Elephas maximus indicus: one gene and its partner. Each later gene encodes a partner of the first gene's protein in a complex. Links are inferred from orthologs where the notes say so. Each region holds a gene or a part of one and is shown in the gene's direction. Other genes may lie near its edges. The genes, in order: LNX1 and IGSF5.

What was found.
Region 2: the proteins of LNX1 (region 1) and IGSF5 are in contact, whole or in part, in a crystal structure (PDB 3VQG), measured with the Mus musculus proteins. The link is inferred for Elephas maximus indicus from reciprocal best matches to the Homo sapiens genes LNX1 and IGSF5. Residues at the interface, in NP_001153049.1 of Mus musculus: Gln396, Leu397, Gly398, Ile399, Lys400, Leu401, Val402, Phe413, Leu416, Pro446, Ala449, Ala450, Ile453; in NP_001171358.1 of Mus musculus: Val367, Thr368, Leu369, Val370.

The regions. Positions count from the first base shown.
Region 1 is NC_064823.1:107,992,370-108,002,814, forward strand, and holds the start of LNX1 (E3 ubiquitin-protein ligase LNX), read left to right. Parts: upstream 1-6,623; 5' UTR 6,624-6,948; intron 6,949-10,445.
Region 2 is NC_064820.1:222,593,280-222,603,730, forward strand, and holds the start of IGSF5 (immunoglobulin superfamily member 5), read left to right. Parts: upstream 1-6,567; 5' UTR 6,568-7,050; intron 7,051-7,327; exon of another isoform or gene 7,328-7,532; intron 7,533-10,451. UniProt on the Homo sapiens protein: Provides, together with MAGI1, an adhesion machinery at tight junctions, which may regulate the permeability of kidney glomerulus and small intestinal epithelial cells. Mediates calcium-independent homophilic cell adhesion.

The DNA.
Region 1 (10,445 bases):
TATAACCCAAATTACTGGAAGCTGGGGGTTAGGGGGGTCCCCTTCTGGTTGAAGACAGAAATAAAGAGCCAAAGCAGGTCTTACTAATATATAGTATCAGCTTCCTGAGTACTGGATTAAGAACGAAGAAAGCTTCATCTCTCCTTTCCCCTGAACCATGGGACCAACAAGGGGGCCAACTCCTCCAACCAAGTAGTGATGGGGAAGAACACAGAAGCAAGAGAACAGAGCTCTATCTCAGCTGGCCTGGAGACGCCACATGGCTCGCCTAAAACAGAAACCAGAGGCTGCATAAGTACTCCGTACCCACCCTCCAAGTCGAGAGAAAGACTGAAGGAGGCCTTCACTTCGCAATGCAGCAGTCTAGTCCCACACCTACAGGAGGCCAGGGAAGGATGTGCTCTCCATGTCTCATCAATCAGATTGGTCAGGGTCTCCTGGTCTCACCAATCAGATTGGTCATTTCTCCTACTGTTGGGAGGAGCAAGTCAGGATCTTGGAGGAAGCCAGAAGCATGGTTTGATACTGCACCTTCTTGGGAAACTTGAGAAACGAATCGGAAGTCCCTTCCTTAATATGGACAGGAAAATAAGTATTTCCTGGCTCTGCCTCAACTCAAATAAACACAATCCCTGTGTGAATAAATCATCTCATAGGCATTCCCAATATTGTTCAACTCTAGTTAACCAAGACCCAGATTAAGATGAGGGTTCAGGGAGGGTGTAGCTGGTGATGAGTCACCATAATTTTGCAAATTCGTATAAAACACAAAACAGGCAAACTCCTTTGTTTCAAGAGGATGTGTGCATGTGTGTGTGTGTGTGTGTGCTGGTTGTTTGAATCTGGAACACATTTTTCCCCATAAACTGATGTTCTAAATCTAAAATGGTGTTTAGTTTCCCAAAGCTGGCCTCCAAAAGTCTTTATGACAGTACAATTTCCACTCTGCCCTGTTGTTTTCATGAGGAATGAATTACAAAATCTAACTTGCGAAGCCAGAAACACATAAGTCCTTCATCCACACCACTCCCACCCCCAGCTCTCCCCCACCCCTTCCCTGGGCTGTGGAACAGCACTCCCAGAGGCAATAGAAAGCCATAGACAGTGCTTCCTTGGAAGGGACGACTCAGGGTAGATTCTCCAAGAACACAATTATTTGCTAATTCTCAACATCTGCACAGGGGAAATTATATCTCTGTATCAGAATAAGAACAAGTTAGTACCTCTCAACAGCTATTTAAGAAACTAAGTGATCTTCATTGAAAAAAGATTTTCCCGTTCAATTACTCATTCCTTCATTAAGTGTTGTATTTAAAAATGTGGAACCTATTTTTATGTACCAGGTTCTAGACATATAGTTGTGAACAAAATAAACATAGCTCCTGCCCTTATGGAAGGAAACCTAGCTGGGGTTGGGGGTAGTGGGTATGGGTGGGTAAACCGTATATTAAATGAATAGGCAAATAAAAATTATATTTACAAATTGTAACAAGAGCTACAGAGTCCCTGGGTGGCCCAAAGGACTACTGATCAACAGGTTGTTGGTTCGAATCCATCCAGAGATGCCTTGGAAAAAAAGTCCTGGTGATTTACTTCTGAAAAAGCAGCCATTTGAAAACTCTGTAGAATGCAGCTCTGTACTGACACACGTGGACTGCCCTGAGTTGGAATCACCTCAACGACAATTGGTTAGTTTTATTAAGTGCTGCAAAGGAAAAGTTGGTGAGTGGGGAGTGTCTCTAGGAAATGACATTTGAGCTGAGATCTGAAAAATGAAAAAGAAGCAGAGACAGTGTGTGTGTGTGTGTGTGTGTGTGTGTAAGTCAGTCCAGGAAGAGCAAAGGCTGTGAGATGGAGAAAAGCTTGGAGGGTTCTTGAACTGAGAGCAAGCTAGTGTGGCTGAAGTGTACTGAAGGAGGGGGAGCATAGCTGAGATAATGTTGGAGAGGTAAACAGGAACCAAATATTCCACACTTAGTGGGGCTATGTTGTATTTTATCCTGAGTGCGATAGAAAGACGTGAGGCTTTTATATAGGCTAATGACACAGTCAGAAACCCTGGTGGCGTAGTGGTTAAGAGCTATGGCTGCTAATCAAAGGGTTGGCAGTTCAAATCCACCAGGTACTCCTTGGAAACTCTATGGGGCAGTTCTACTCTGTCCTATAGGGTCACTATGAGTCGGAATCGACTTGACTGCACTGGGTTTGGTTTTTTTTTTTTTAATGACACAATCGGGGTTACCTTTAAAAAAATCTAACCTGGCTGTGGTGTGGAACATAGATTTGGTAGAGGGACTGGGGGCAAGAAGGGAAGCAGGCAGGATAGTTAGGATTGCCTACAGTAACCCAGGTGAGAGATGATGGACGGTCAGTTGGACCCCTGTGATAATGGAAACAGAGGGCAGTGGTTGAAGCTGATGTAAATTTTTGAGGTGGAATTGACAGGATGTACTTATGGATCCCACCACCTGTCTGTCAGTTTGTCGTACTGCGGTGGCTTAAGTGTTGCTGTGATGCTGGAAGCTACACCGCCATGAGTATGTCAAATACCCATGGAGTGTAGCTTTCAGTGGAGTTTCCAGACCAAGACAGGCTAGGGAGAAAGGCCTGGTGATCTACTTCCAAAAATTGTTGTTGTTGTTAGTTGCCATCAAGTCACTTCCGACTCATAGTGATCCCATGTTCAACAGAACAAAACACTGCCTGGTCCTGCGCCATCCTCACAATTGTTGCTATGCTTGAGCCCATTGTTGCAGCCACTGTGTCAATCCATCTCGTTGAGGACCTTCCTGTTTTTCAATGACCCTCTACTTTACCAAGCATGATGTCCTTCTCCAGGGACTGATCCCTCTGATAACATGTCCAAAGTATGTGAGATGTAATCTCACCATCCTTGCTTCTAAGGAGCATTCTGGCTGTACTTCTTCCAAGACAGATTTATTCATTCTTTTGGCAGCTCATGGTATAATCAGTATCCTTTGCCGACACCGTAATTCAAAGGCGTCAATTCTTCTTTGGTCTTCCTTATTCATCGTCCAGCTTTCACATGTATATGAGGCAACTGAAAACACCACGGCTTGGGTCAAGTGAACCTTAGTCTTCAAGGAGATATCTTTGCTTTTTAAGGCTTTAATGAGGTCTTTTGCAGCAGATTTGCCCAATGCAATATGTCTTTTGAATGCAAAAGATGCATTGCATCCAAAAATTAGCCAATGAAAACCCTATGAATCACACCTTAACACTGTGTGATATAGTGCTGGAGGATGAGCCCCCTAGGATGAAACGCATTCAAAACCGCAGTGGCCTCAACAATAGACTCAAGCATACCAATGATGGTGAAGATGGCCGAGGACTGGGCAACGTTTTATTCTGTTGTATATGGGGGTCACCGCGAGTCAGAGCCAACTCAACAGCAACTAACAACTTATGGATTGGATGTGGGGTTTAAGAAAGAAGGCGCATAATGGCAACTCCAGATGGAGCACTTGGGTGGATAAAAAAGCCATTTACTGAGATGGAGGAACAGGAGGAGGAGCAGGAGAAGAAGATGAAGAGCTGGCTTTGAAAGTGTGACGTATGAAATGGCTGTGAGTCGTGGAGCAAGCGGTTGGAAGATCTGACCCACAGATAGGAATATGGGGATTGTTGGCGTAAAGATGTTATTTAAAACCTTGGAGTGGGGCTTTGGACTCCTCCCCTTGTTGCCCTACCCGTTTGTATAAACTATAAGTTATATTCTTATGAGGAGAGAAAGGAAAGCAATCAGTCCATTACTGCTCAAAAAAACTATTTTCTATCTCTTATTATGATAAATCCATTTTAACCCTGATCAATCTCACAAGAGTGAAAAGGGACCTGAGAGAAAGCTAACTCAGGTTCTAGTTTCTTTATCACCATTTAAAGATAGAAATGGCTATTCTAAAAAATTCAGCATTTCTCAGATTTAATATTCCTCCTTCAAAATAGACCCAAAATAAGGCAATTTTCTCTGCAAATAACTGGGCATGCTATCTTTCCAGGATACTTTAAAAACGGGCCATCTTTCCTTCCAAGGGGAAGACAATTTGCTTTCCCATAATTATTAAAATGTTTAAGTACATCTGGACCTTTCTGCTGAGTTGAGATCTGTCACTCACCTAGAATATCCCACACCAAATGGAAATGATGCTCAAAAGCAGTGGAGTTTGAGCAGATCCAGGTCACCATGGTGTAAGTGATCTGGCTTTGGAGAGGGCACATTTGTAAAGTGAAATTAATACATCCTGTTTTCATCTGTGACTTCTCTCTGTTTCCAGTTTTGAACAGTCAGCTGCACTGGTTCCATGATCGTGCACAAAAATTTTGGGGGACGTTTATATGTTTGCTGTTAATCCTAGAATGGACTCAAGTCTTGGACGCCAATCAGTCGGTACTGATCCACATGCTCGGAGGAGCAGAGAGAGAAGTGAAATCTACCTACCTTACCCTTCTGCATTGAAAACCCCAGAGCTGCCCGCAGTACCCACATCTATCTTTGTTCCCTGATCGAAGGCTGTGGAGCAGATGCTGAACATGAAAGCTTCCATTACGTCAGCCCCTTTCCAAAATTTTGGTTTTTCATTTCATGTGATAAGGTTGAAAAGGCCCATTTGACTGTTATAAATTGCCTTCCTCATCAAAGAACTCCAAGACCAAAGTCTATAAACATATCTAGATGCTACGCTTAAATGTAAACCACAGGAAAAGAAAAATGAATTGATATCCAAACTAAATGCCCAGCCCCTAGCCCATCTTCCTCTTTATTACTATAACTCCAGTAAATAAGTCTATAGTCTCTGTTAAAAAGAATGAAAAGCTGACCAACCTCAAGTTGAGAGGTTTATGTGGCCCTAGGGCAAAATACCCCAAAGATCCACCAAACCAGATCCAAGGGTAAATAAGGGGAGCAATTGCCCTGATGTTGCAACTCCTATGTTTATGAAAACAGGCAACTTGGACCCCGCTGGGAGCCATCTCTCTGTCTCCTAATTAACGGTTTTACTTTCCTTTGACCAGTTGCCAGCTGCCCCGGGGTAACCACCATGGCACAGGAGAGCTAACTGCTAACAATTCGAAGTAAAGATGAAGACAATAAAACCCAAAAAGGTTGCAGTGTGACCTAAGGACTGAAGACTAAAAACACATGGGCTGGTTTCTTCTCACCAGGCAGAAGTTTCCAGGCCAGGAACTCAATCTCATTCCATGGATTGTTGATTAAAAGAAGCTTGTAACTGCTAGGCGCCTACTGTCAAAAGGACAAACTAGTGACCCGGCCATGACCAAAACACACCCAGAGCCAAGAGATTTACAGGGCACTTCCTGGTTTGTAAGTCAAAATCACAGCGGAGGGCCTGAGACAGACAGCAGCTAGCAGCACCACCTTTGACTAGAGAGGACATTGGGTACCTGGATTATACTTTTCCTGCATACACACTACATGTGAAATACACCAACGCACATCACCAGAGGGAGACCATGTAACTGATGACCAGTGATGCTGTTTAGAATTCTTTTCCCGCAGCTAGTAGCTTATTGAAGCAATGTCTTTGGCTATCCCTGAAGCTGTTCCCACACAGGTGTATAAGCCTACCTGGTGGGAAAAGCAGGTCATGGGTGGCTAAGTTTGCTCTCAACTACTAATTTAAAGGTTGGTGGTTTTAACCCACCCAGCAGTACCACAAAAGAAAGGTCTGGTAACCTGATTCCGTTAAGATTACAGCCAAAAAAACACTTATGGAGCAGTTCTACTCTGTAATACATGGGGTTGCCGTGCGCCAAGATCGGCTTGATGGCAACAGGTTCAGTTGGCTGTGTTTGTGTGTGTGTGAAAAGCAAGACTTCAAAAGCCCATGTCCAGAAATGTGATTTAACAAATTTTAAGTAGCTGAGTCACTTTGCAGTAGTTTAATCTCTCTAATACTCAATTTCTTTATAAAGTGGGAATGGTGATTATAGGATTATGATGAGAATTAAATGAAATAATGCACATCAGGAAATTAGCATAGGACCAGGCATTCGGTAAACACAATAAATGTCAGCAAAGATGTGGCTGCTAAAGGTGATGATGGTCAAAAGTAAACAGAAGACATTCTTATTTAAACAATAATCCTATATCTTTAGAATTAAAAATCTTTCATAGTGTCACCCTTAAACTTGCTCGTCACTTTTCTTTGTCTACGAACATTAGCTAGCATCCAGTGATGCGTGGTACTGCTTATGGAAAATCTTTGGAAGTTTTGGCAAGGTACTGGAAAAATTCAGGATTGTTTCATTTGCCTGATATAGAATTTCATGCACTTTTCTTTGCACATTTAAAAACAAAAAGACAAGCAGGATTCTGAGACAGGTCCAGTTGGAAGCCCTGGCTTATTTGGGGACTGGTTCTGAGCATGATGATGTCCCAGACCTAACGATGGCCGGAAGGTGCAGTGGCCAGTGTTTGTTTCCTTGTTGATTTCCTTTCCCTGGTTCCAAGCTCATGTTCCCATTGCCTGCAGGAAAACAACATCCAGGGGTGCGGTAGGCCTGACTTGGCAGCCCTAAAGGTGAACAAAAGTGTCCTGCATTTTGGCAAGAGCAGAAGGAAGTTTGAGGGAGGGAGGCTTAGCCCCATCCAAATGGATTTGTCACTGATGCGAACGAGCGGCTGCTCTGAGGGGCTGCTCTCCAACCGAAGTGGCGCCCTGACAGGCTGCCCTCTCTCGGGATCATGGATCTGCTCTGCCCAAACCTTGCAGAAAAGACAGGGGATGTGCTGATTAACCTCTGAGTATACGAAGGCAGAGTGGTCTGCACATATGTCTGGAAGACGAGGTGCAGGAAAGAGAAAGAAGCTTTCCCGAACTACTCTGGAGTCAGAAAACCTCAGCTTCCAAAAGAACTGTCACCTGAGGCCCCTTACACCTGGGAACTGATCCACAGGCAGCAAAGGTAAGATTGCCTGGTTTCTCCACCAGGTAGAATCTCATACAATTTGAGAAAATTTGACTCCTGACTATGCCAGCCTCCCACACCCACCTCTATCAGATGGGCACACACACACACACAAATTCTCTGAGGAGAGCCTTGCTGTTAGTTGCCGTTGTGTCCATTCCAACTCACGGCAACCTCATGTGTGCAGAGTAGGGTTTTTAAGGCCGTGACCTTTCAGAAGCGGATCGCCAGGCCTATCTTCCAAAATGCCTCTGGGTGGGTTCGAACTACCAAACTTTTGGTTAGTAGTCAAGTAATTAACCATTTGTATCATTGAGAAACTCCTAAGGAGAGTTCAGTAGACAGAAATACCTAGTTGTATCTTTTTTCAAAATACCAGAAAGGCCTCAGGACACTTGCTCTTCGCATGCTCATTTTTTCCCCCCGCACTGGTCTTCGCGGAAACGTCTTTCTTCCTTTACTTTCAAGAATGGAAACCATTTGCCAAACAGGTTAGTAAAACTGTAAGCAACCCTGTGAATGGCAATTGGATTGTATACAACTTTATTCTCATCAATATTCAAAACGCAGGCACATACACATTTTGTTTCATTTCTATGATAGGAACAGGTATTATCAGTCCCATTTTACCCATGGAGAAATTTAGGTCCAGAGAAATTGTGACTCAGCCACCGACATGTGTCAACTCCTGCCTCTTTTCACTAAAATGGTGACTGTATGTTCCTAGCCAAGTATCAGGCTACATTCATTGGCACATATTCTGATAAATGGTCCAATGAGAGGATGGAATTTTAAAAATTGGAACTGTCTTGAAAAATGCAGAAATACATCTTCACAGTATCCTGTTTACTTCCATTCCCGGGAATTGAATCCAGTTGGATGAATGTTGATAAACTCTGCTTCCTGTGCCTAGCACTGGGCCAGGCCGTGGTCCCAGCTATACACTCAAGGAGTGCAGAGCCATCGAAGCGGGGAGCTGCACATGGCAGCTGGTGGTAGTGGTAGTTGTCTTAAAGTTGTCTCAGGGTTTAAATGAGACAATGCACGTGAAGCCTTTGCTGGCACATACTAAAAAAATTTTTAAAAACCAGTTGCCATTGAGTTAATTTCGACTCATGAAGACCCCATGTGCTTCAGAGTAGAACTGTGCTCCATAGGGTTGTCAAGGCTGTGACCTTTCAGGAGCAGATTGCTAGACTTTTCTTCTGGGACATCTCTGGGTGGGTCCAAACTGCCAACCTTTTGGTTAGTAGTCAAGTGCTTAACTATTTGCACCAGCCAGAGGCTCCTTAAAAAAACCCAAAACCAACCCCACTGCCGTGGAGTCGATTGCAACTCATAGTGACCCTATAGAGGCTCGCAAGTGCTCAATAAATGCAAACTATTACCCTAGTGGTGCAGTGGCTAAGAGTTAGCCACTAATCAAAAGGTCAGCAGTTCGAATCCACCAGCCGCTCCTTGGAAACCCTATGTGGCTGTTCTACTCTGTCCTGTAGGGTCAATATGAGTCAGAATTGACTCAGCGGCAATGAGGTTTATTAATTTATTTGCTTCTAATCCTGGGTCCAGGCAAGATGCCGTGAATACAGAGAAGAGGGGCCCAGCCTTCAATCAAAGCTTTGTAAATTAGTTGTATGCAACTATGTACAGTTGATAGGTGCTCTGGGATCACACAGGAGGCAACCACTAATCTGTGGGAGTTGGGGTGGGGGTTTGGGAAGCCTGCTGGGTGCGAGAGGCAAGGTGGAAGAGGCTTCAGATCAAGAGGCCTTGTGTGAAGGGAGACGGCACAGAACAGCGAAAAGAGCTATTCAGATTTGGTTTCTAATCCCAGAGTCATCCCCTCCTAGAAGCGTAGCCTAACCAAGTTACTAAATCTCTCTGAGCTTCCATTTTCTCTTCTATAAAATGGAGATGTTTCTATAAAACATAAGTTGGAGAATCATCGTGATAATTAGAAAGAGAACACTAAAAGACCTCTCTCTGTTTCTGGCCCACAGAAGATGCCCAATAAGCAGTAGTTGTTATCACCACTTTAGACCAAGCCTCAAATGAACACGGGGACTGGCACAATCCATGTTCCAGGTAAACACTGAAGAGCTGGTCCTTAGTTATTCCCTCAGACTTTTCTGAGATGACAAAGGAGACCTTGGTGTTTCCACTTCATGGTGCTGGCAGATGAGCCCATCGTCAGATAAGTCGAATGGATTGCATGATCAGATATCATGTGTTATCTCTATCTAGCTATTCAGGAACCTTTCCAGTCTTTACTAAATGAGCGGGGTGAGCCCAACCCTCTCCCACACCTTGGCAGAGCACCAACAGGCAGGAGCTATACCCCAATTCTGCTTCTACGGCAGACACTCCAATCCTTCTCCACCCAGAGTGGCCTCTGAGTACGTGTTCTTTGCTAACTGAATTATTGCTGTTCTCAGCCCTCTCAGTGCACAGAGCTAAGACTTGTGTGTGTGTGTATTTCTATACTAATCTTTACATATTGAAGAGCATAAATTCACACAGGTGCTTCCAATTCCAATCCAACACCACAGAGTTCATTCTTGTTTTGTCCCTTTCCATATTTGTAACTCCCTTTTTCTCTGACAGTGAGATACCTGGCTCCCATTATCCTCAATATATTTCCTTATTTGATCAACCCCCTGACTGTAACCACCTGTGGTCACTACCACAGCTGTCTTCCCCATGCCGACACCCCCTCATCCTGTTTGAGTTCCAATGCCCAGGCCAGGCTGCCCTTTCACAGGGATGCCTTCCTTTGCCATCCAGACTCCAACACTTGTGCTGGACAGCCTTTCTGTTGGCTAACCTCCTCACCCCACTCAGACTATGACTCCCCATGAAGGTCATTTCCCATTATCTGCTTGGACACCATACTCACCTTACCAGATCTCTAACATTCCACGCCAGGGAGCCAGCAGCCCGCCTGCGTGAAAGCCCTTCTCTCCTGCTTCAGCTCTGACAACCTGCCCTGAGCCACTGTATCTTCTCTACCACCCACATGGATGCTCAGCCACACAAAATGGCCTTACGGTCTGAAGTACTTAGGAAGAAAAGGAAAGGGAATGAGGGGAGGGAGGAGAAGAGGACATTCACTCAATTGTGACATCGATGAGAAACTCAAACGTTGCTCTGTGACCATGACATGCATGTGTGTGCGCATGTTGTCACTGTCTTTGATTTGTTGGGGAGTAGAGCATATTCCTCCATATGGATTGGGTAGATGTCACAAACACCAGGCCTTAAAAAGTGTGGTTCAACCGGAGACTTACATCATCCTGAGACCAGAAGAACTAGATGGTGCCCGGCCACAACCGATGACTGCCCTGACAGGGAGCACAACAGAGAACCCCTGAGGGAGCAGGAGAACAGTGGGATGCAGACCCCAAATTCTCATAAAAAGACCAGACTTAACGGTCTGACTGAGACTAGAGGAATCCCGGCAGTCATGGTCCCCAAACCTGTTGGCCCAGGACAGG
Region 2 (10,451 bases), on another chromosome or scaffold:
TAGGTGGGTGGGTGGGTGGGTAGATAGATGGGTGGGTGGGTGGGTGTGTAGGTAGACAGATAGATGGGTGTGTAGGTAGATAGATAGATACAGATAGATGATAGATGATAGATAGATACAGATAGATGATAGATAGGTAGATAGATAGATGATGGGTAGATGGGTAGGCAGGCGGGCAGGCAGGCGGATAGGCAGGCAGATAGGTAGGTAGATAGGTAGATATTGGTTTAATTCAAGGAACTGGCTCACAAGGTTGTAGGGGGCCAGCAAGTTCAAAATCCTTAGGTAAGGTGGCAGACTGCAGACTCTGGCAGGTTTGTGTACCAAAATCCACAGGTCAGATGATGGGGAGAGTGAAAGGAGCTGAAATTTTGGCAAATGTCTGTTTATAGTCTGGAGGCAGAACACACCCTAGAAAAACTCAATTTTTGCTCTTAAGACCTTCAACTGATTGAACAAGGCCCACCCACATTGTGGAGGATGATCGACTTTACTTAAGGCCAACTGATTTAATCACATGTAACTACTTTGTTTAACAGAGTCTAGACTAGTGTTTGACCAAGCAACAGGATACCATAAATGAAAACCAAACCAAATCCACTGCCGTTAAGTTGATTCCGACTCATAGCGACCCTAAAGGACAGAGTAGAACTGCCCCATAGAGTTTCCAAGGAGCACCTGGTTTATTCGAACTGCTGACCTTTTGGTTTGCAGCTGTAGCACTTAACCACTATGCCACCAGGGTTTCCTAGGGTACAGCCTAGACAAATTGACACATAAGATTAACCATCACAGTTAGTAGGTAGGTGTGGCTGCTGTGACAGAGACAAAAGTAACAGTGGCTTAAACAAGACAAGTTTCTGTTTCTCTACAAAACCCCCAGCTATGTGGCAGCCTTGCTCTTGAAAGCCTTTGAGGGCTCATTCTTTTTTAATCTTCTTGCTCTGCCCTCTCAGGGTGTTGTCCACAGTGGCTCATTACCACTTCTACATTCTAGCCAGCAGGAAGGAGCAGAAAGGGAAAGAGAAAACATACTTCTCTTAATAAAGGGATGGGACCCACTCACATCCCTCTGATCTAAATTTAGCCACATGACCATGCTTAGCTGCAAGGGAGGCAAGGAAATGCAGTTTGTATTTTTGCCCAGTTAAAAATTAGGGATTAAAAAAAAAATTAGGGATTCTTTTGCCATAGTGATATGGCTTGAACTGTGTCTCCAAAAAAAATGTGTTGAAGTCCTAATCCCCAGTACCTTTGAACATGACCTTGTTTGGAAATAGGGTCTTCAAAGATATTATCAGTTAGGTTTAAATGAGGTTATACTAGAGTAGAGTGGGTCTGAATCTGAGTCCTGACCTTCCTTATAAACGAGGAGAGGCACAGATACTGGGGGGAAATGGTCATGTGGAGATGGAAGCAGAGATTGGACTGATGCCTCTACAAGCCAAGGAACGCCAAGGATCGCCAGTTGTCACCAGAAGCTAGGAGAGAGGCATGGAACAGGTCATCCCTGAGGGCCCTCAGGAGGAATCAATGCAGCCAACACCCTGCTTTCATACTCTCAGCCTTCAGAACTATGAGACAATACATTTCTGTTCTTATAAGCCACTCAGTTTGGTCCTTTGTTATGGCAGCGCTAGGAAACTAATACGCAAAGAATAGGTGAAATAGATGTGGGGGCATGGTGCAGGTGTTTACAGGCACCCTTTGTGCATGGCTCTGTATCCAGCCTTGTGGGGACTGTAAAGGTGAACACATTGTAGTCCTTGAATCCAGAAGAGGGAGAGAATGTAGGAAAAGTTTCATTTGCAGTTAGAGATTGCCAATTGGTCTATGGAATGACAAGACTACAATAAATGTGGATCACAGACAGCTAAGTATGACCAGCAAGTAGGTCTTGCCCAGGAGAATACTCAAAACAAACAAGCAAAGAGGGCAAGAGAAAGTAATGCTAAGCCAGTTTGAGACTTGCAATACAAGTCTAAAAACAATCCTCTGGAGCCTTGGGATTCTCAAAAACCCCCAAACAACCCAGGCGTTCAACTTTGCTTTTGAAGGACATATATAAAAAAAAAAAAAAAAACAGTGCCGTCGAGTCGACTCCGACTCATAGTGATCCTATAGGACAGAGTAGAACTGCCCCCATAGAGTTTCCAAGGAGCGCCTGGCAGATTTGAAATGCCAACCCTTTGGTTAGCAGTCATAGCACTTAAACTGGGTGAATAAACTCAAGTGGGACATGGGAGAAAAGAGATCAGCGACAATCCTCTGGAAGGCAACATTTTCAATGACTGGTGGAGCAGTTGGAGAAAGCAGCAAGTGCAGCAAACATTTGCTTGGTTGATGTTCACATCTGTAGACAAAGTAAATTTAATTCGCATCTCCAGAAGCAAGAAAGAGTCTGTGACGAAAGCCAACACAAACACCTGGGAGTTTCGTTTCCACGGCAACTCCCAGCCAGGGTGCACGCAAACATTTCCACAAAAGGGTGGTGTGATTACTCTTCAGCCATGCGCACCCACCTTCTGTCAGGCTGTTTTGATGTGCTGAAAATGAGAATTCTTCAGTAAAATTCTAATTGATCTAATAGAATAAATTAGATTCTAATGCTCCAAAGGCATTTTGCAATTTTTACTTCTCTATGCTTTGGAATTCATTTTCAAAACACATTTCATTTGTTTTTGGAAATCCAAGTTCACTCTTCAGGGCCATTTTTTGCTTTTTGTTCAACCGTATGATACATGGACCACCGACTAAGTGGGGGGCTCCTGGCTTAGGGCCAGGGTACCTACAGAGGGCCACAAATTTAATGAATGTGTTTAAAATGTTTGGCACATTTTAAAATCCTCTCATTCGGCAGCAAACACCACTCTTTTCCTACTGAGGAAACCAGCTTGTTCTTTCAAGGTCTTTTGTCACTTGGCAGATGGCTGAACTGGAAACCCAAGGTCCAGGGCTGGTAGCCTGCTTGTCTGGGACACCTTTGTCAACACAGATCATCCCCTCTGTTATGGATTGAATTATGTCCCCCCAAAATATGTTTTGTAAAACCTAACCTCTATGCCTGTGGTTATAATACCATTTGGGAATGGGTTGTCTAGGTTATTTAATGAGAGTGTATCTTGAGTCTATCTCTTTTGAGATGTAAAAAAGATTAAATGCAAGCTAGAAGCACAGATGGGGGAAGAGAGATGCCAAGCTACATGAAGATCTCCCAGGAGCAGAAGCTCAAAGAGACAAGGGCCTTCCTCCAGAGCTGACAGAAAGAGAAACCCTTCCTCTAGGGCTGCGTATGGAAGGAATACGCAGAGTCACTCTACCAAAGAGAATTGATGTCCAACCATTTCAGGAGGCACCATACGAGCAGGAACCAATGGTACTGAAGGAAGAAGTCCAAGCTGCACCGAAGGTATTGGCGAAAACAAAGTTCCAGGAACTGGTGGAATATCAATTGCAATGTTTCAACAAACGGATGCAGTGCTGAAAGTTCTCACCTCGCCTATGCCAAGAAATTTGGAAGATAGCTACCTAGCCAACCTACTAGAAGAGATCTATATTTATGCCTATTCCCAAGAAAAGTGATCCCACTGAATGTGGAAATTATTGAACAATACCATTAATATCACAAGCAAGTAAAATTTTGTTGAAGATCATTCAAAAGCAGCTGTGGCAGTATATCGACAGGGAACTGCCAGAAATTCAGGCCGGTTTCAGAAGAGGTCGCGGAACCAGGAATACCATTGCTGATGTCAGATGGATCCTGGGTGAAAGCAGAGAATACCAGAAAGAGGTTTACCTGTGTTTTATGAGCTATGAAGGGGCATTCAACTGTGTGGATCATAACAAATTATGGATAACATTGTGAAGAATGGGAATTCTGGAACACTTAGCTGTGCTTGTGAGGAACCTGTACATAGATCAAGAGGCAGTTGTTGAAACAGACCAGAGGGATACATTGTGATTTAAAGTCAGGACAGGTGTGCGTCAGGGTTGTATCCTTCCACCATACCTATTCAATCTGTATGCCGAGCAGATAATATGAGAAGCTGGACTATATGAAGAAGCATGGGGCATCAGGATGGGAGGAAGACTGATTAAAAACCTGTATTACGCAGATAACACAACCTTTCTTGCTGAAAGTAAAGAGGACTTGAAACACTTACGGATAAAGATCAAAGACCACAGCCTTCAGTATGGATTACACCTCAACATAAAGAAAACAAAAATCTTCACAACTGGACCAATAAGCAACATCATGATAAATGGGGAAAAAATTGAAGCTGTCAAGGATTTCATTTTACTTGGATCCACAATCAACAGCCATGGAAGCAGCAGTCAAGAAATCAAAAGATGCCTTGCAGTGGGCAAATCTGCTGCAAAAGACCTCTTTAAAGTGTTAAAAAGCAAAGATGTTACCTTGAAGACTAAGGTACACCTGCTTGAGCCATGGTGTTTTCAATCACCTCCTATGCATGTGAAAGCTGGAAGATGAATAAAAAAAAAAAACAGAAGAAAAAGTGACGCTTTTGAATTGTGGTGTTGGAGAAGAATATTGAATATAACACGGACTGCCAAGAGAACGAACAAATCTGTCTTGGAAGAAGTACAACCAGAAAGCTCCTTAGAAGCAGGAATGACGAGGCTATGGCTCACATACTTTGAACATGCTATCAGGAGGGGCCAGTCCCTGAAAAAGGACATCATGCTTGGTAAAGTAGAGGGTCAGTGGAAAAGAGGAAGACCCTCGACGAGATGGGGTGACATAGTAGCTGCAACAATGGGCTCAAACACTGCAACAATTGTGAGGATGACGCAGGCCCAGGCAGTGTTTCATCTGTTGTGCATAGCACTGCTGTGAGTTGGAACAACTTGACAGCACCTAACAACAACAGACAGGGAAATGCAAAGTGGAGGAAAGAAACTCAAGCCCCAAATAAAAATTATTTGGGTTAAAAATAGCTTTCACTTAACCACTAAAGAGCTGACAGATAAAACTATTTGTAATTTGATATTAGTGACATGTCAGTTAAAATACAGATTTTCAGATATGCCTATTTTCTGTGGCGGAAGGGCTAGAAAGTACTATCTTAGCTGACAAAGGGAAGAAGTGTGTCAATATGACTTGTTTTTTTAATAGTGTGGCTATGGTCTGAGCTCTACTAGGAGAAAGGAAAATAGCCATTCGGTGAAATAAATTCTGGGCTCACTGAATTGTGAAGGAAAGAGAAGCGATCCTGATGAGGTGGCTTCTGGTGGCTAACGAGGCTACAAATGAGATCAATGTCCACTACTGGAAGGAGCAGCAATTTATCTGTCTCAGGGTCTAGTCCAAATACATGATCTACACCTTCTGCTGGTACCTGTTATGTGCAGATGCCATTGACTGAGGCCTCTGAGAAGATTAAATGCAATGAGGAGATAAGGCAGATATTCCAAAAGGGCCAAGAACTGTTATAAAAGCAGACAATGTGGTGCTTTGAGTCATGACTTAGGGCAGTGATCTTTCCTGAGATAGTCCCAGAGTTAAGTCCCTGGGTGGCGCAAACAGTTTGTGCTCATCTACTGACCTAAAGGTTGGTGGTTCAAATCCACCCAGCGGTCCCGCAGAACAAAGATCTGATGATCTGCTTCTATAAAGATTGCAGTCAAGAAACCTCTGTGGACATAGCAAGGTGTATACAAATTTTTGTATGAGAGACTGACTTGATTTGTAAACTTTCACTTGAAGCACAATAGAAAAAAAAAAAGAAAGGGGATAGAAATAATGATTTGGGTAGTGAGGAAGGATTGTTACAATAATTGATACAGTAGCTAGCAAAAGCTTCCTGGGTATATATTTTCTTATTATAATGTCTTCTCAGGACCCACAGCTAGCTAAGATCTGGTTATGCATATAGGCAGTTATTTTTCACCTCAGAGGTCTTCATTATAATTCACACGTGGTTTTTCTTCCTGTAAGATGTCTTGTTATCTATTGTGAAGATTTTTAGGTCATATATGTGAAGAACTTCCATTTCTGTGAATCTTCAATATCTGAAGATGATTGTCATTGGTTCTGGTCCTCTTCCATACTAAAATATAAGTTTGGCTGGAATAGAGTCACTGTATTCTAATGCGGTGATTTTGCTCATTTCAGTAATCGTTAAAAATAAAAAAAACAATCAATAATCAAAAAAAAAAGAAACCTCTATGGAGCAGTTCCACTCTGTAACACATGGGGTTGCCACGAGTTGGAACTGACTCCATGGCAATGCTTCTTTTTTTCTGAAAAGCCAAGTTCCTTTGTTCACCTCTGAGGAGGTGGGGGTGCGGAGTCAGAGGCCTGAAGACAACCACTTAAGACCACAGTTCTCTTGTAAGTGCTCCTCAGATAATTACCCTTCACATTCAAGAGGACTTCACTTTTAGGATTTTTTTCCTCACAGAAGAACGTGTTCTACTGGATATTTAGGTGCCTGCCAGAAAGAAGGAACCAGCTTGATTAGCCCCTGAGTCTGTCCTGGAGGTAAGGAGAAAGCTCAAGGTCAGTCAGGCCATCCAATGACATCCACCATGTCCCCTTGTTTCAGGCAAGAAAGGACCTGTCTGCTTCCTACTAGCTCATGGACGAAAAAAACCAGCGTGGCAGGCCACGGAGAAGGGCCTGGCTCTCCGGCACTTGCGAAAGGCTTGAGGGAGGAACGGAAAGTGGAGGGTGGAGTGGAGGACAGTCTTGGCACTGAGGCCTTTGGCTTATCAGCCCCAGGTTTGGACTTCCTGTGGTAGCTGTTTGGGACTGGCTAATGATTAATGAGGAAATATGTCCCTTTGGGGCACTCATACCATCCTGGAGTGTGGAACCTATTGGCACCTCTGTTTATAACCCGGCCAGTGACGTGGCAGAACAATTTCATAAGGCACTTCCTGTAAGCCGGTGAAGAGGGACTGGGAGGACTCTTTAAGGGCCAGAAGGAATTTGTTCTTGAGTGTGTGGATAGTGGACACAGACCAAGAAGGCTTTCGGAAACGGAGTGTCCGCTGAAGTCCTGATGAGAAGATCAAGTGCCCGAGGTAAGAATGACTTGCTAGTTCCTCTCCTGATAGGTGGACTTGTCTGGTGGGTTTATCTGCAGTGTAGCTGGGCCTCCTCCCACTGATTAATTAGCTCTCCTGACGGGGACGCTTGAGCCCTGAGGAGGCCTTCTGCTGGGTTTCCCACGGAGAGCATCGGTATTTCTTTCTCAGCTTCTACAAAGTTAAATATTAAAAGAGTGGGCTGCTCTGAGTTTAGAAATTTGGGGAGATTTCTAATAGAGCCAGCCTCAGTTACACCGTGAGCTGTTTTCAGGGAGACGTTTCAAGCCAAGGCTGTGCTGGAATTTTCGGGGTCAGTATTCAGAGGCAGGAAAATTACTAAGACCTGTGTTGCTCATTGGACACACTTGTCAGTGCTGTTTTTTAACTCCTCGATGAGAAGTCTTTATGGAAAGTAGAATTGAAGGGAAATCTATGGAAGTTCTAGGACTGCTCACAAGCTGTCAGGCAACGCCAAGGTAGGCCCAATGCTTGGAATGTCGGGGGTGGGAGGCTCAGAGTTGGAGTCTTTGAGTTTGTAGGAGAGATGTTAGTGCCTTTTTATTTAGGCGTAGTACTTTTGAGAGAGTCCCTTGCGTGGTGTTTGTTGTAGCTCTTCCCACCAGGCCAGGCCTTGAGACACAACTTGGCCTCTGTTCTCTTTAGGCTTGGACTTGTGCAGCTGCCTAAGAAGGCACCTTTGGCGAATATCAAACTATTCAAAACGAAAAAAAAGCCAAACCCACTGCTGTCGAGTCGATTCAGACTCACAGTGACCCTGTAGACAGACCACAACTGCCCCACAGGGTTTCCAAGGCTGTAAATCTTTACGGAAGCAGACTGCCACATCTTTCTTCCATGGAGCAGCTGGTGGGTTTGAAATGCCAACCTTTCGGTTTGCAGCCGAGCACTTTAAACACCGAACCACCAAGGCTTCTTAAACTACTTTCAACAACCTAGAAATAAAGGTTAGTTAACTGAGATTATCAGATTTGACAAATGATATGATTAACTGGGTGGGTCCCCACATATCTTCTGAGTGTTAATATCCACCTTTTCAGTGGTTGGGGGTTAAATCCTGTCTATTCAATATAATTTAATAACACTTAAGACTTTAAGATGACTTTGCAGTTTTTCAACTAAAATTAGGTAATTCAAGTCTTCCATAATGAAATGAATGAGAAATTAAATCTTGGGTCCCAGAAAAACTTCTCTACAGAGATATTAACTGACACAAACCTGGCCTAGGCCCTCGTTTAATTAAAGGGACTTGTCTGATTGTAATTTAAACTTGAAGTCAGCTTTGAGACAGTGTCCTTCCTGTGCACACCCTTTTAACACCAACCCTACATTGGTAGTAATCTCCTGGAGTCCCTAGGTGGGGCAAATGATTAATAAATACACTTGTTGCTAACTGAAAGGCTGGAGGTTCAAGTCCACCCAGAGGTGCCTCAGAAGAAAGGCCTGGTGATCTGTGTCCCAAAACTCAGCCATTGAAAACCCTCTGGGGCACAATTCTTCTCTGACATGCGTGGGGTTGCCATGAGTTGGAATCGTCTCCATGGCAACTGGTTAGTCATCTTACAGCTGGGTTCTCGTGGCTCTCAGCGTGTTCTGTTCTTGCACTGCCCAGTGGTTCTGATTTTTAAAGCTTTTGGACTCTTTAGAAACAGAATCGTTCTTTCACGCAGAGACTCAGTACACATGAATCTCGTGTGAGGATGTTGGCAGAAGGGGGCGTTTAGTAAGTTTAGTCATCTGCTCTTAGTCTTGAGTGCTTCCAATTGTGAGTCACTCTTATCAGTGACTAGAAGTATCTCCTAAGCAACCTTAATCTGTTTCAGTGATACGTTTTCAATTTATTGCTTTCTGTAAGATGTAGAACAGCCTTGTATAACTAGGTGGCTTGACTTCTCCCCGGTCCTCTGCCTTAGCCAAGTGTTCCGGATGACTGACTGGCAGAGTGATTTATTGGTAAAGTTGTGTTAACTGAACCTCGAGATTTAGTAAATGATTTATTTACTCGGGGTCGTAATTACACCTCAGAAAAGCTGTGATTTCATTTCACTTGTGTACAGCTGCTGTACAACATGCTGCTGGAGCACACTTTTAGGGGCTTGCTGCATCTGTTTCAGATTATCCCATGAGACTTGGTGCCACCATGCAATGGTGCCGTAGCACAGAAGTGCTGAATCTTATTATGCATGTGAGCAATTAGAGTTTAGTCCAAACCAAAACCAAAGCAGTTGTTGTCGAGTCGATTCCAACACAGAGCGACCTGATAGGACAGAACAAAACTGCCTCATAGGCTTTCCAGTGCTGTAATCTTTATGCAGGCAGACTGCCACATCCTTCTCCCATGGATTGGCTGGTGGGCGTGAACTGTCCACCTTTCCATTAGCAGCTGAACACTTTGATCAAAGGTTGAATTGTGCTCTCCAAAGGAAACAGAGAAACCAAGAAGTGGGAAGCCTGACGTTTCTCTCATAAGCTGTAAATATCCAGTAATGTGCTTGAGTGGAAAATGTGGTCACCGGCCTGAGCGTCTCCGCTCTCCATCACACTGACACTCAGTTTTCTTCAACAACTTAGATGAGGTGTATTTTGGAGGCCGAGGTGTGGTGGTTATTTGTCCATGGCTATTTCAATTCTTGTATGTCTGCTTATAGGAGCCCAGGTTATGCAACGCTTAAGCACTTGGCTGCTAACAGAAAGGTTGGCAATTTGAAGCCAGCTAGTGGCTTCTTGGGAGAAAAGACCTGATAATCTGCTCCCGTAGATTACAGCCTTGAAAACCCTAGGGGGGCAGTTCTACTCTGTCCTATAGGGCTGCTGTGAGGAAAAAATTGACTTGAGGGCACCCAACAACAACATGTCTGTTTATGGTTGGTTGTTGCCTGTGGAGAAGAAAGGAGACCAGAACCCTGAATGAGTGTGTCAATGCATTTGGAAACCCCACCATGGGGTCTTTAGTAGGAAAGGGCACTGTACATTTTGGAGGTGACGTGTGCCAAAGCTGTCACCTGAAAAACCAGCTCCAGGTCCCTGGGAGCCACACATCCTTGGTATGCAAGAATGCTTGGAATAGAGGCCTTCTTTTGTGAGGCTAAGGAGCCTCTGGAAACCTTGGTGGTGTAGTAGCTAAATGCTATGGCTGCTAACCAAAGGGTCGACAGTTCGAATCCTCCAGGCGCTCCTTGGAAACTCTATGGGGCAGTTGTACTCTGTCCTACAGGGTCGCTATGAGCCGGAATCAATGACAGTGGGTAATGGGGAAGGAGCCTCTGGTTTTACAGACAGTCCTTGGTACATTCAGTGTATTGGTGATTAGCTATGAATGCCCAATGGGATTAAGCAGTGCCAGTGAGTGCCTTGGATAGGCCTGTCCCAGGGGAGAA